Linked DNA regions of Cricetulus griseus. The protein of the gene in region 3 binds, or shares a complex with, the protein of the main gene of each other region. Links are inferred from orthologs where the notes say so. Each region holds a gene or a part of one and is shown on either strand. Other genes may lie near its edges.

Evidence for each region.
Region 1: the proteins of Nrip1 (region 3) and Esrrg are in contact, whole or in part, in a crystal structure (PDB 2GPP), measured with the Homo sapiens proteins. The link is inferred for Cricetulus griseus from reciprocal best matches to the Homo sapiens genes NRIP1 and ESRRG. Residues at the interface, in NP_001426204.1 of Homo sapiens: Ser378, Leu379, Leu380, Leu381, Leu383, Leu384, Lys385, Ser386, Gln387; in NP_001429.2 of Homo sapiens: Val277, Ile280, Lys284, Phe289, Leu294, Gln297, Met298, Leu301, Gln302, Lys448, Leu449, Glu452, Met453.
Region 2: the proteins of Nrip1 (region 3) and Rora are in contact, whole or in part, in a crystal structure (PDB 4S15), measured with the Homo sapiens proteins. The link is inferred for Cricetulus griseus from reciprocal best matches to the Homo sapiens genes NRIP1 and RORA. Residues at the interface, in NP_001426204.1 of Homo sapiens: Thr499, Leu500, Leu501, Gln502, Leu504, Leu505, His507; in NP_599023.1 of Homo sapiens: Gln332, Val335, Lys339, Phe344, Met345, Gln349, Gln352, Ile353, Leu356, Pro505, Leu506, Glu509, Leu510.

Annotation. Positions count from the first base shown.
Region 1 is NC_048598.1:6,689,732-6,693,381, reverse strand, and holds part of Esrrg (estrogen-related receptor gamma), read left to right. Parts: intron 1-604; coding exon of another isoform or gene 605-625; coding exon 626-787; intron 788-3,650. UniProt on the Homo sapiens protein: Orphan receptor that acts as a transcription activator in the absence of bound ligand. Binds specifically to an estrogen response element and activates reporter genes controlled by estrogen response elements.
Region 2 is NC_048597.1:180,928,595-180,931,873, reverse strand, and holds the end of Rora (nuclear receptor ROR-alpha), read right to left. Parts: intron 2,619-3,279; coding exon 2,454-2,618; 3' UTR 631-2,453; downstream 1-630. UniProt on the Homo sapiens protein: Nuclear receptor that binds DNA as a monomer to ROR response elements (RORE) containing a single core motif half-site 5'-AGGTCA-3' preceded by a short A-T-rich sequence.
Region 3 is NC_048597.1:18,834,069-18,838,353, forward strand, and holds the start of Nrip1 (nuclear receptor-interacting protein 1), read left to right. Parts: upstream 1-1,359; 5' UTR 1,360-1,489; intron 1,490-1,843; exon of another isoform or gene 1,844-2,448; intron 2,449-4,285. UniProt on the Homo sapiens protein: Modulates transcriptional activation by steroid receptors such as NR3C1, NR3C2 and ESR1. Also modulates transcriptional repression by nuclear hormone receptors.

The DNA.
Region 1 (3,650 bases), on a different chromosome or scaffold from region 3:
TATGGGTGCAGATATTAGCTGTATTTGGAGGGTTGGCTTGGTACATCGGGACGGCAGGGAAGGAGGGAAACTCCAATTTAATTCATCCCAAGGAAATAGAGTTATATAGTCGGTAATTCATCTTGGCAGAAGGGCTCTGACCTTTAGCTCTTCTTCAAAAGAATTAAAACAATTAATGACTTTTGTGCCTACTAAGACTATGGGCACTCATGGGTCTTTGCTTTCTGCATTAGTCCATATTTCAGTTTTCCAGTAGGCTTTTATTTTGAAACTGTTGTGTGCTATTCAATCTGCTTCACCAGATCCCACTTAGAAATCAGAGAGCAAACCCAAGAAGCACCTAACTTCTCTTACCTGTCTGCTATAAAAATGCTCATGGCAGGACCAAGTCTTCCTTCCAGAAAGCTAGGCAAAGAAAGGGATGTTTTCCATCAAGAACAGTGACTTCTTTCTTGATGTGAATTTTCCTACACACTGCTTAAGGCACACAGAGAAAGCTATGATGGAGCAGGTGTGTTTTATTGGAGGCTGGTACAATTATGTTCCAAAACACAAACTACCTTAGGGTTTGTTAAACTGGGTGACTATGTTAGTGATCATGTAGTTCTCTGGTTTGACCCCATAGATAACAAGATTGTCTCGCATTTGTTGGTGGCTGAACCAGAGAAGATCTATGCCATGCCTGACCCTACTGTTCCCGACAGCGACATCAAAGCCCTCACAACACTCTGTGACTTGGCTGACCGAGAGTTGGTGGTTATCATTGGATGGGCAAAACATATTCCAGGTAAGTTCTCTGAAAACCCAAAAGAAACACAAAGGCTGCAGTTGCCTCCAGGTTTATATGCACCATAGGAGGAAAATGTACCTTTTTTGTGGTATTATTTCTTAACCATCACTTTGTTGTTTGCACTTAATTCAGTACTCATTGTCTTGTGGCAGAGCATTATATAGCAGTAACCATTCTACCTATGCACTGTCTTGAAGTCTCTTCACCATTCATTTCATATTTGAAGGCATTAGTTGCCCACATTAAATAAAGACCGTACAATCCATAAAACCATTTCTTAGTTATAGTGGTAATTCTTATCTTTTTCCTGATGAAGATAATTCTGTATTTTTCACTATTGTTTTCAGCACTGGGCTAATGTCCCCTTTGCTTCTAAGAATCATCCATCTTGTTCTTTCATATCATATCATATCATATCATATCATATCATATTGCATTGGTTTTCTCATTATGATCACAAATTTTACATTAATTTGCAATCAGATATTTATGATGAATCTAAATACAAAATGAAATGATAGACTAAGATGGTGGATTTTTCCCATTTGCTGATTTCAAGTTAGTGTTTTATTACATTTCTTTTTTGACCCATTATGTAATATATAATATACCTGGCCACATATTTTGAAAATGTTAGTATTGTGTCTGAACTTGATTTCATTTCCTTGGACTTTTATTTTCAAATAGTTCATAAAGAAGTTTTCGAATGACAAGAAATGTTTTTCTGGCACACACGGTTAACTTATTTCCGTCTTCTTAAACTAGTTTGTCTTTATGCTTTGAATGCTACAGTAATTTCTTTAATCAAATTGATGGAAGTCCCTTTCCCAGCCCACACTGAAACCAATTTATTGGTCATGATACGCCAGCCATGTCGCTAACAGTCGTAACGAACTGTCAGGCAGTATAGCGGTGAAGCTAATTTGAAGTCATTAGGTGTGCAGCGCTCAGGCAACAATTTGTTACAGTGGGTTAGGGACACAGCTGACATTTCTGAATAGCTTTGTTCAGGGCAGTTCTAGATGAGACCAAGCAAATTGTAAACTAATTTAAACATCACTCTGTATTATACCGGCTACTTTGTCTTACACTGTTTGCTAATAAAGCTCTCCAAATTAAGTCAGAACTAGTTAGTTAAATGGGTAACTTGAATGTATGCTTTGGAAAACACCCGCACAAGAATAACAATATCTAAAAGAATACAGTCTGGTCCTGTGGCTACATGATGTTGTATTTAGGTTACAATCACACCTATATGGATTGCCTAAAAAGATGTTTGGAGGAAGAAATTCACAAAGCATCAGATGGCTGGGTGTGGTGTTCTAGCATTCCGGAGGCTGAGGCTGGAGGATTAGCCTTGACTGTGTAATGAAAGCCTATCACAGGGAAGAAAAGCTAGGCAGCAGATTTGTCTGGATTGTAAATGAAAATTTCTTTGGAAAGAAGGTGCTATTGGTGGTCAGGTTACAGCAGAGAGACAAAACTCACAGTTTCTGAAAATATGTCTATGGACACATTTTTCCATAATCAACATAGATCATACACATGATATCCCATTGTTATATATACTTCTAGGCACAGTTTTTCTATTTTAATGTTTTTAATTTAAGTAAAATTACATCACTTCTCCCCTCCCTTTACCCTTAGCCCTTCCCAATTACTCTCTTTTGGTCTCTTCCCATAACCCCAACTTTCAAGTAAATAACCTTTTTCTTTATTATTATCACACACACATGCACATACATGTATATTAAATATAGTTATTATAACCCATGGTTACTCATCGTGGCACTATGGATATTTGGTACTAGAAAATTCTGTTCTAGCTGACTTTTCTATTTATTATGGGATGCTTAATGGCATCCTTAGCGTCTACCCATTAGATGCCAGTAGTACCCTTAACAAATAAACAAACAAACAAACAAACAAAAAAACCTATTCTCCAACATGCCTGGAAACAATTCACACCAAGCTGCCTACCCCAACCCTCCCCACTGAGAACCACAGTCCAACCCAGGATATTTATTCCCCTCTATTCAAGGGCAGAGTGATTTGTGGCAAAGAGAAATTCAAGCACTCCTATAAGTTCATGGATGTTTCTAGAACCTTCAAGTCACATTTAAGCCCAGTGTGACTCATAACACCATTGCCAAAACCCAGGACTAGCTAGGTTGAGATAGGACAAGCACCACAGTTTGGAATAGACTGGGCTAAATTGTGTATTTCAGACCAGTCTGTGTAAGAGTAAGACTGTGTCTCAAAAACATGGAAGCATGCATGTGCTCCCCAGCAACCATGTAAAAGCTAGGCATGGTGGCACGTATCTGTCATCCCAGTCATGGATTTGGAGACAGGGGGATCTTGGGAAATTGGTCACTAGTCTAAGTAAACCAGTGGGCTTCAGATTCAATGAGAGTTGCTAGCTTAAAAAAATGGTGGAGAGCCATAGAGGAAAACACTCAGCATTGCCCTCTGGATTCCATGCCCCCTGCCATAAACACAAACAAACAACAGCAGTGTGAATCCTGCCATCATGAAGCCGAATCACCTATCATTCCCCTGAGCTCTGCTCGTCTCCCTGAGTTAAGAGATTTATTAAGGCAATGTTTTGATACCATCCAGGATTGTCACAATAAAGACCAGCTATAAAAAAATATATAGCAACTTCTCCCAAGCCCCATGGTTAGGAAAGGTCAGAGGTGACTTAGCAGCCCTGATTGTGCATCTAAGTGGAGATGAAGGCTTACAAAGCAGCCTGCTGGAGTCATGGCCTGGGCGACTTCTGCGAAGACGGTAACTTTAAATAACTCCAAGTAGCGCCGTTTCCAGTGCCGGAAACAATGAGCATGTGATTATGGGC
Region 2 (3,279 bases), about 160 Mb from region 3:
CTATTAATCTTTAAAGGAACTATGCTTAAATAAAATTTTGATTTACCCCTTCTTGCCCAATATAAATACTATATGCTGACAGCTAACCTCTCTATATAAACACATAAAATTTTCTATGCTTGTAAGAAATTTAAGTAAATATTGCTCTCCTGTTTATGATTAAACCCTTACTATGTCTCTGGAAAAAAAAAAAAACAAAGATCAGATGTCATTTAGGCTTCACCCATACATTTCTGTACAAATATTTCCTTCCTACTTTCCAAGTCCCTTAGTAAATAAGGCAGAAAGTCAGTGAAGTTGAAAATTGTGAAGTACTCTGGGAAGCTGGCCCTGGTAAACCCATCCTATGGACATCAGCAGGAACAGAAATGTTGGCAAAAGATTCTAGAAGGACCCTAGTAGCAGAGGAGGCTATTGGATGTATAGGATTTTGAAGAAGCACCCAACTTTGTGCCATGGAAGATGTTCCCTTTTCCTTACAGATACGGTCTTTGAGGCCAGACCAGTATCTTGTGACCAAAGTCATTTCCCAAATGCCTCCTAATTTCTCAAAAGGGCACTTGTTTTAAAGGATTTATTGATTTTTTCTATGTCCGTCTCTCTCATTGTGTGTGTGTGTGTGTGTGTGTGTGTGTGTGTGTGTGTGTGTGTGTACTCACACCCATGCCCACACCCACAGAGGCCAATAGGGAACACTGGTATCTTGGAGCTGGAGTTACAGGCTCTTTTGAGCTGCATGATCTGATTGCTGGGTTCCAGGCTTTGGTCCTTTGATAGAGCAATAGTGCTTTTGACCATTGAGCCATCATCTTTCTAGTCTCAGGGCATTTGCTTTCAAAACATGCACACCTATGAACATGAGACTGTTCCTTCCTCTGCTCACTGGGGATTATTTTTAAATGCAAATTTAATCAAGATTACCTCAATATTTCTTACCTGAACACAAAAGCCAAACTATTTTCTAAATATTTAAAAAAATAAATTACAGTCCACAGTTTTCTAGTGAAGGATAAACACACGAGAAAATGTCTGCAGCTGGCATCACCTTCACTCTGAAGGCTTATTTTAAATACAGGAACCAGGTTCAACACTGCCTCCCTCCCTCTTCATCCACTGTCTACCCAATATGGACAGCAGCATTTCTAGAATCTCGGACAGCTAGTCTAGGGTCAGTTTTCTCTGAGATGAATTCTTAGGGCTCCTGATGCCAAGAACATAAGGCATTCAATGACTGTGGGGAGTGTGTTTGCTCCACATAGAGTCTTTGGGTGCTTCTAAATAAGAGCTACAGTCCAATAAACATTCTGGTTACTAATATGTTCTAAGCATCAGAATTCCGAGTTGATACTGTGTCCCTGTGACTACTGAATTATGTCAAATGAAAATCTCTCCTCCTTCACTTCCCAAAGGTGGCATCTTAAAAACTTAAAAAAATGCACATATGGTTTAAGCCCACAGCACCAGATACTCTTTTGACTCTGTATGAAGCATAAACACACCCATTCTTAATTGCATGCAAAACAAAGTATGATCCGTTAATTCCAAATTTACAGGTGGGAAAAGAAATTCAACATGTTGATTTCTGGATATGACCAGCCAGTCTTTCAAAAGTAATTTTTTTTTTGTTTTTTGTTTTTCTTTTTTTGTAAACAGCAGCATAAATACCTCCCGACGTACCTTCCAAGCCTTCTCAGCTAAACTTGTGTTTCTGGTGTACATGCGACACGGCGACAGTGAACACGCTAGCATTTAATTTAAAGAAAACAAAAGGTGCAAAACGGAAAGTGCCTTATCAATTCAACAGGAAAAGCTACGCCAGTCACTACATTTTATATTAATTAAAACAATATATAAACAATATCTCTTTAGCTATATATAGTCTTCATGCCCATTTACCCTGTGTAATATATTATAATGCTATTGTTGCGAGCGCTATGGATCCCCTTTTCACGCCATCCCGCTGACCGGCAATAATCGGTGAGAGAAACAAAATCTTCCTTCATGACACAGAAAAGCAAGCTGTGCAAAGTAACGCTGCAACCCCCGCTATGCATCCCGGGGTCACCGATTACTGCTGGACTCTGTTGTTACCCGTAAGAGTCTGTGGGCAGTGAGCTATAAGAAAAGGGACTTCTCTGACTGTAGTACCCTCCACTTGCAGAGGTCAACCGCTTTAGAAGTCGAGACAGAAAAGGGTCCGTATCTGTAGGCATAGTGGAAACCATATGCATGAGCAAAACAAGTTTAGCTTTTATTGGTTCTCATTGTTTTCCCTCTGTGCCTGAACCCCGATCACCACAAGATGTCTGTGCAGTGTGTTGGCGCTCCAGGGCTGTGCAGGGCCATAGAAAGTGTCTCAGTTAATTTTGTCTTCGTTGTCATTGTTTTATTTCCTTTTTTTTTTTCTTTCATGTTTGTACTTCAGTTGTTCTAGAAGTGCTCGGGTACTACATTTACCCATCAATTTGCATTGCTGGCTCAAATTCTGAAGTGAACAATTCCTTGTATAATGGAGGAAAATGGAGTCGCACAATGTCTGGGTATATTGCTTTAAATGCCATTAGCTTTTCTGTATGTCGTCCACATAAGGCTCTTAACGTAGACACCTTGCATATTAGCTGTAAGCAGGAGAAAGGACAGGATGTCAGGGGAGGGCAGTCATAAGAGTGAAAATCAAGGACTCAGGATGACTTCCACAACATTGCTCATCATGGCGAAGACACATTTACTGCTGCTTAAGCCTCCAGTGAGGGGGCAGGGAGAGATAGATAGAGGTCCTATAGTAGGACACTTGGAATACACCAGATGCATTTTGAATATGAATAACTTAACTCAAAGAGGTATTCATATGCAAATTTGCCCCCCCCCCATATCCCCAGAGCCCAGGTGAGGTTCTGGGCTCCTCCCTAATCCAGAGTGCACCATCTGGAGCCCTCCTGGCTGTCTCAGTGGGAAAACAAGAAGTTTGCTCACAGAGAAGTAGGTGAGTGGCAGTCCGGGTTAGAAAGGGCACTACAGCTAGAAAGAGGAGTACCTATTATACACAGTATACAGAATGAGTGTAAGTCAATTGCTTTTTGTTTTTAGAATGCCATTTATTTATCTCAACTCTGTGTGTGTGCAAGTATGTTTATATGCTATGTGTGTGTATGGGCAAATTCTCGGAGTCAGTTCTCTTCTTCCACCATGTGGGTCCTGTGGGGGGGTCAAACTCAGATCAACTGGCTAGTGTCTTGAGCCTCTTAGCCATTCACCAGACCAAATGAGTAAGTGCTAGGG
Region 3 (4,285 bases):
TTAACGCAGCCATACCACTTTACAGTTCAGGGTGAAGTGAAAATGTACTTCAGTTTTTTGTTTTTTTTTTTATGTCAAATAAAACCAACTTTTACAACCACTCTTTTTCCGCTGGTAATTCTTTTCATGGAGAGATACTAAAGTGAAAAGGAAACGTGACATCTGGGTGGGGAGGGGCGTCAGAAGGAGTCTTCACAAGTAATGTTCGCGAGGAGAGGATTTTAAAGCGGAAAACACGAGAGGGCGAGATCATGGTTTCTTATTATTCTCTCCTCCCTCCACTTTTTCGCTTCACCAATCTGTAGCCCCCCTCAAATTTAGAGGCGGGTTCAGCAAGACAAGGCTGCAGGAAACCCAGGTTTCACTGTACTGCCACCCTGGCTTCGTGATGTAATTGTTATTTATTGAGACTCTGAACCGAGCACAGCTGCTTAAAGAGGTGACAGCCCATCTCCTAGTCCTGTTGGGTCAGATCCTTCCTGGGGGTGGTGCAGATGGCCCGACAGACCCTGCTGGAGACTTCGCAGTGACAAAGCAGCTGAAGATAAACCCGGTTCCTGGGTCCTGCGTCCGTCTAGGGAGCTGAGCTGGGCACTCCTCAGGTCTCCTTCCCAGTTTTCCGCTTGGAATCACGCCACATTAATTACTGGGTCCTACTAGGTGCTGTGGGCATGGGGTCAAAATGACCTAGAGTTATAGCGCCGTCCTTCCTGATTTTAAGCGGGACACAGATTTCTAGGAGGTGGAAATTAGGGTGGGTAAAAGGCAGTCAAGAGAACGCGTGCTGTGGGTGAAATGGGAGGAAGGGAGACCCTTAAGGTGCCAGCCCCTAGGTGGAGACCCCAGGGAAGGGTCAGGGTGTCTTTATTCCTCTGCGGTGCTCACAACGCTTGCCCAAGCCTGGGTGACATGGACGATCACCTGGTCCCTAGGGACAATCTGTCCAGGCGGCTGGACGGGGCCGGAAAGCCAGGGCTCCTGCTCGGAGAGCAAGGCACCCCCCTTTCCCGGTCGAACTGTGTCCTCTCTCTACCTTCAAGGCCGCGCAGCCCCGGGTCTCCCACCCGGAGCACCGGAGAGGAGGCCTGCAGGAGCCGGATAGGCTCCCCAGCTCCAGCGAGCCGCCGGGTACGCGATCAACCCGGGTGACAATGGGAGGGAGGGGCAGAAAAGGGTTAAGAAACTTGGCTGAAGAGCTGAATGGCGTGGAGCAGCGAGGGGAGGGACCCGGCCGCCGCGAACTCGGCGGCGGAGGGAGGAGCGCGGCTGCGGCGGGCGGGCGGCGAGCGAGGCGCTCAAAGTCAGCCTCGCAGACATTGCAGCAGAGCCCCGAACTCGGGAGGCGACGGCGATCGCGGTGCAGGCGGAGGACGAGCCGGCCCCAGCCCGCCCGTGCGCACCGCCCGTGGCCTCGCGCGGCCGCAGGGCACGGCTCACCCGGGAAGGAGGGAGCGACGCGGATCGGCGGCCCGGAGCCGAGGCGGCCTCGGTGAGTGGCGATCGCGGCCCGGGCTCGGTGCAGAGCTGGCAGAGCGGACGCCGAGCCACCCGGGCACGGCCTGGGTGACCGGCCCGGGGAGGCGGCGGAGGCCGGGGAGGCCCACGGGGGACGCCGGCCACACGGATCCCGGGGACAGCTTGCCGCCGCGCCCGGCTCCGGGTCTCCCCGGGAACTCGCGGCCGCCCCCCCCCCCCGCGCCGACGCGGCCGCCAAGTTGTAGAGTTCCCAGCCGTGGGATCGTCCGTGCCAGCCGTGGCGCGAGGGGCGCAGCCTCCCTGGGTGTGCTGAGCCGGGACCCACGCGGGTGGCCGGGTGGCGGGGCCCGGGTCGAGCCCGCTCGGCTGCTCCTGTTGGCCCCGAGCCCCGGGCGCTGGCTGCTGCGCCGCTCGGTCCTGCCGCCCAGCGGTGCCCGCGGTGGCGCCCGCGCTGCTCCCCGCCTTTAGTTGGTGCCTCCCTGCGCGGTGCTCGCCGATTCCCGGCAGGGAAAAGTGACTCGGACAGGGACAGCGCTGAGCCCCAGGCCCGGCCTGCTGGGCACCAGGTCCCCGCCTGCCGAGGGAGGGCGAGGCTCCTTGCACCGGAGGCCTCAGCCTAGTTTTTCCCCAGCATCCGAGAGCGGGCTTTGCGTTTAGTGTGAGCCTGCTGAAGTCCTCGGAGACGCTCTTCTCTCTTGTGCCACTCTCCTCCTTACTCCGGTTTGAGGAAACCCTCGTCCGTGGCAACACTCTCCGGACCCCCACCCCCATCCTTCCCAAAGTAGTTTCCAAATTTTAATCAGGAGTTGATGTTCAGACTGAAGGAACAAAGGAATCCACTGTGTTTAAAAGGCGGACAGGCGGTGAGCCTGACACATGTTGATCTCTGAGGCATTCCAGGAGTTTCTACCTTCCATCATGTCAGTAATTTAATTGGATTCTGGCGGTCGTAAACGAAGAACAGAACGTTAGGTAATTTTATGTTAAGATACTTTTTAAAAATTAGTGTGTCATTTTAGTTGGTGGTAAAGTCCCTACGTTCTTAGGTGCAAGAACTTTTAACTCATTTTTGTGACATCAGGCTTGAGTTTGTCTGCTAATGTAAATGATTGTGACACTGAGGGAAAACCGTGTTTTAGAGGAAGAGAGAGACTGTCTCAAAGTAAAACAAGATCGGTGTGCCTGCCTGTCTGTGTCTGTGTACACACCTATACATGCGTAAATGATGTATAGTCTTCGTATTTCCTGGGTTTTGTAAAGCAAGGGGCTTCAGGAATTCATTCTTTAAAGTTATGAATTACATTGAACCTGCTTATTAGTGAATCATAGGTTTTACCAAGTGGGCGGCACCTTCCCGATGCTGTTATTCAATGTTCAGTCACCAGTTTGCCACCTTTGTCTAAGAGACAGTGAAGTAAGTCTACTTTTTAAGCAAACAGTGCTTCATGCGCATGGCCCCTAAATGTGGCTGCTGCCTGGGTGTGTTGAAATGTCCTTTTACTTCCAAGTGACTTAGTTGCCCTGGTTTTGCCCAGCAGTTTGGTAATGACCATAGGGTTTAATTGACTCAGGGAGCCTGGCTTCAACACCAATAGGAACTTTCTAGGCTTGGTCTTACTTAGTTCCTATAGACAAAGGAGAAGCAGTAACATAGCAGGCACTACTGCTTAGTCTAGGACTGGATACTTACTCCAGGCCACTTTGTACTCCGGTGGGGAGATTTCTTTGCAAAGTTAGCCTGCAAAGTACAGGAGGAGCTTGAGGAAAACAGGTAAGAAGTAAATAAGGAGGGCAGTTAGTTCGGTGGCTGCCTTTACACAGATGAGAGTCCCTGTGCTGCCTTTGAGACCGTGGAACATCAGGTTTAAAACCCATGAGAAGCTTGAGAACCTGTGTTTTCCAAACTTTGTTAAACTTGTACTTTTCTAATTGAGCTATCCGGAAATATTGTGAGTTAGCAGTGGAGAAGTGTTTGTGGCTGAGGCTAGGGCTGCTCTGGGTCCTCCAGTTTTAAGAGCAAAACATTGTGATAAAAAATAACCTATACCACCACCTAGAGTCTGCTTGTTAGTTTATGGCTCCTGGAGTTTGCTTACATCCATCCCCAGGTCCCTTATGGTTGCTGCATGGTCCAAACATGATTTGAGAAGTTGAGGCTTCCTAAAGGCTGTCCAAAAGAACAATTACTTAAGTCATAAACAGCAAGGGCCAATTTAAATTATCCACGCCACCTTCAGAATAGAAAATTATGACATATCAACTCAAGTGGGCTGGCCTCCAAAAGATATTAATTCAGAAATGTAAGGCAGAGCCTTCTAAGCGTGAGCTTTAGGGGTGGCTGTGACTGCTAAAAGATTTTCTGTTTTCAGAGATTCAAGAAATATTACGAAATAAGTGTTCTCAGTACCTTTTGTGGTTCTAGGGAAACAAAAGCAATGATTAAAAAATATAGAGGGAGGAGTATTGCCACTACAAAATTCTAGACACTGAAAAGGTCAGAGAGAATGTAGACAGTAGTTGAATTGGGGTTCAACTATGTGAGAATCAGGCCATGTGAAACAGAGTGATTATCTGTCCTGCTGGTGGTGGCTATGCAAGAGAGCAGTCTGTTGAACAGGACACCTTAGGGAGGCAGCCTCTGCCATGTGGCGCAGCACATTGTCCAAGGAGGAAGTAATGCTCCTCCTTGTAACGTGTAGCCTAAAAGATGGCCTCCAAGATCTTTAATTAAATATCAGTTGAACAGAGAGAACTAGAGCACTGGATTAATTCTGTCAAACATCACTATTTTAGAACATCGAGGACAACT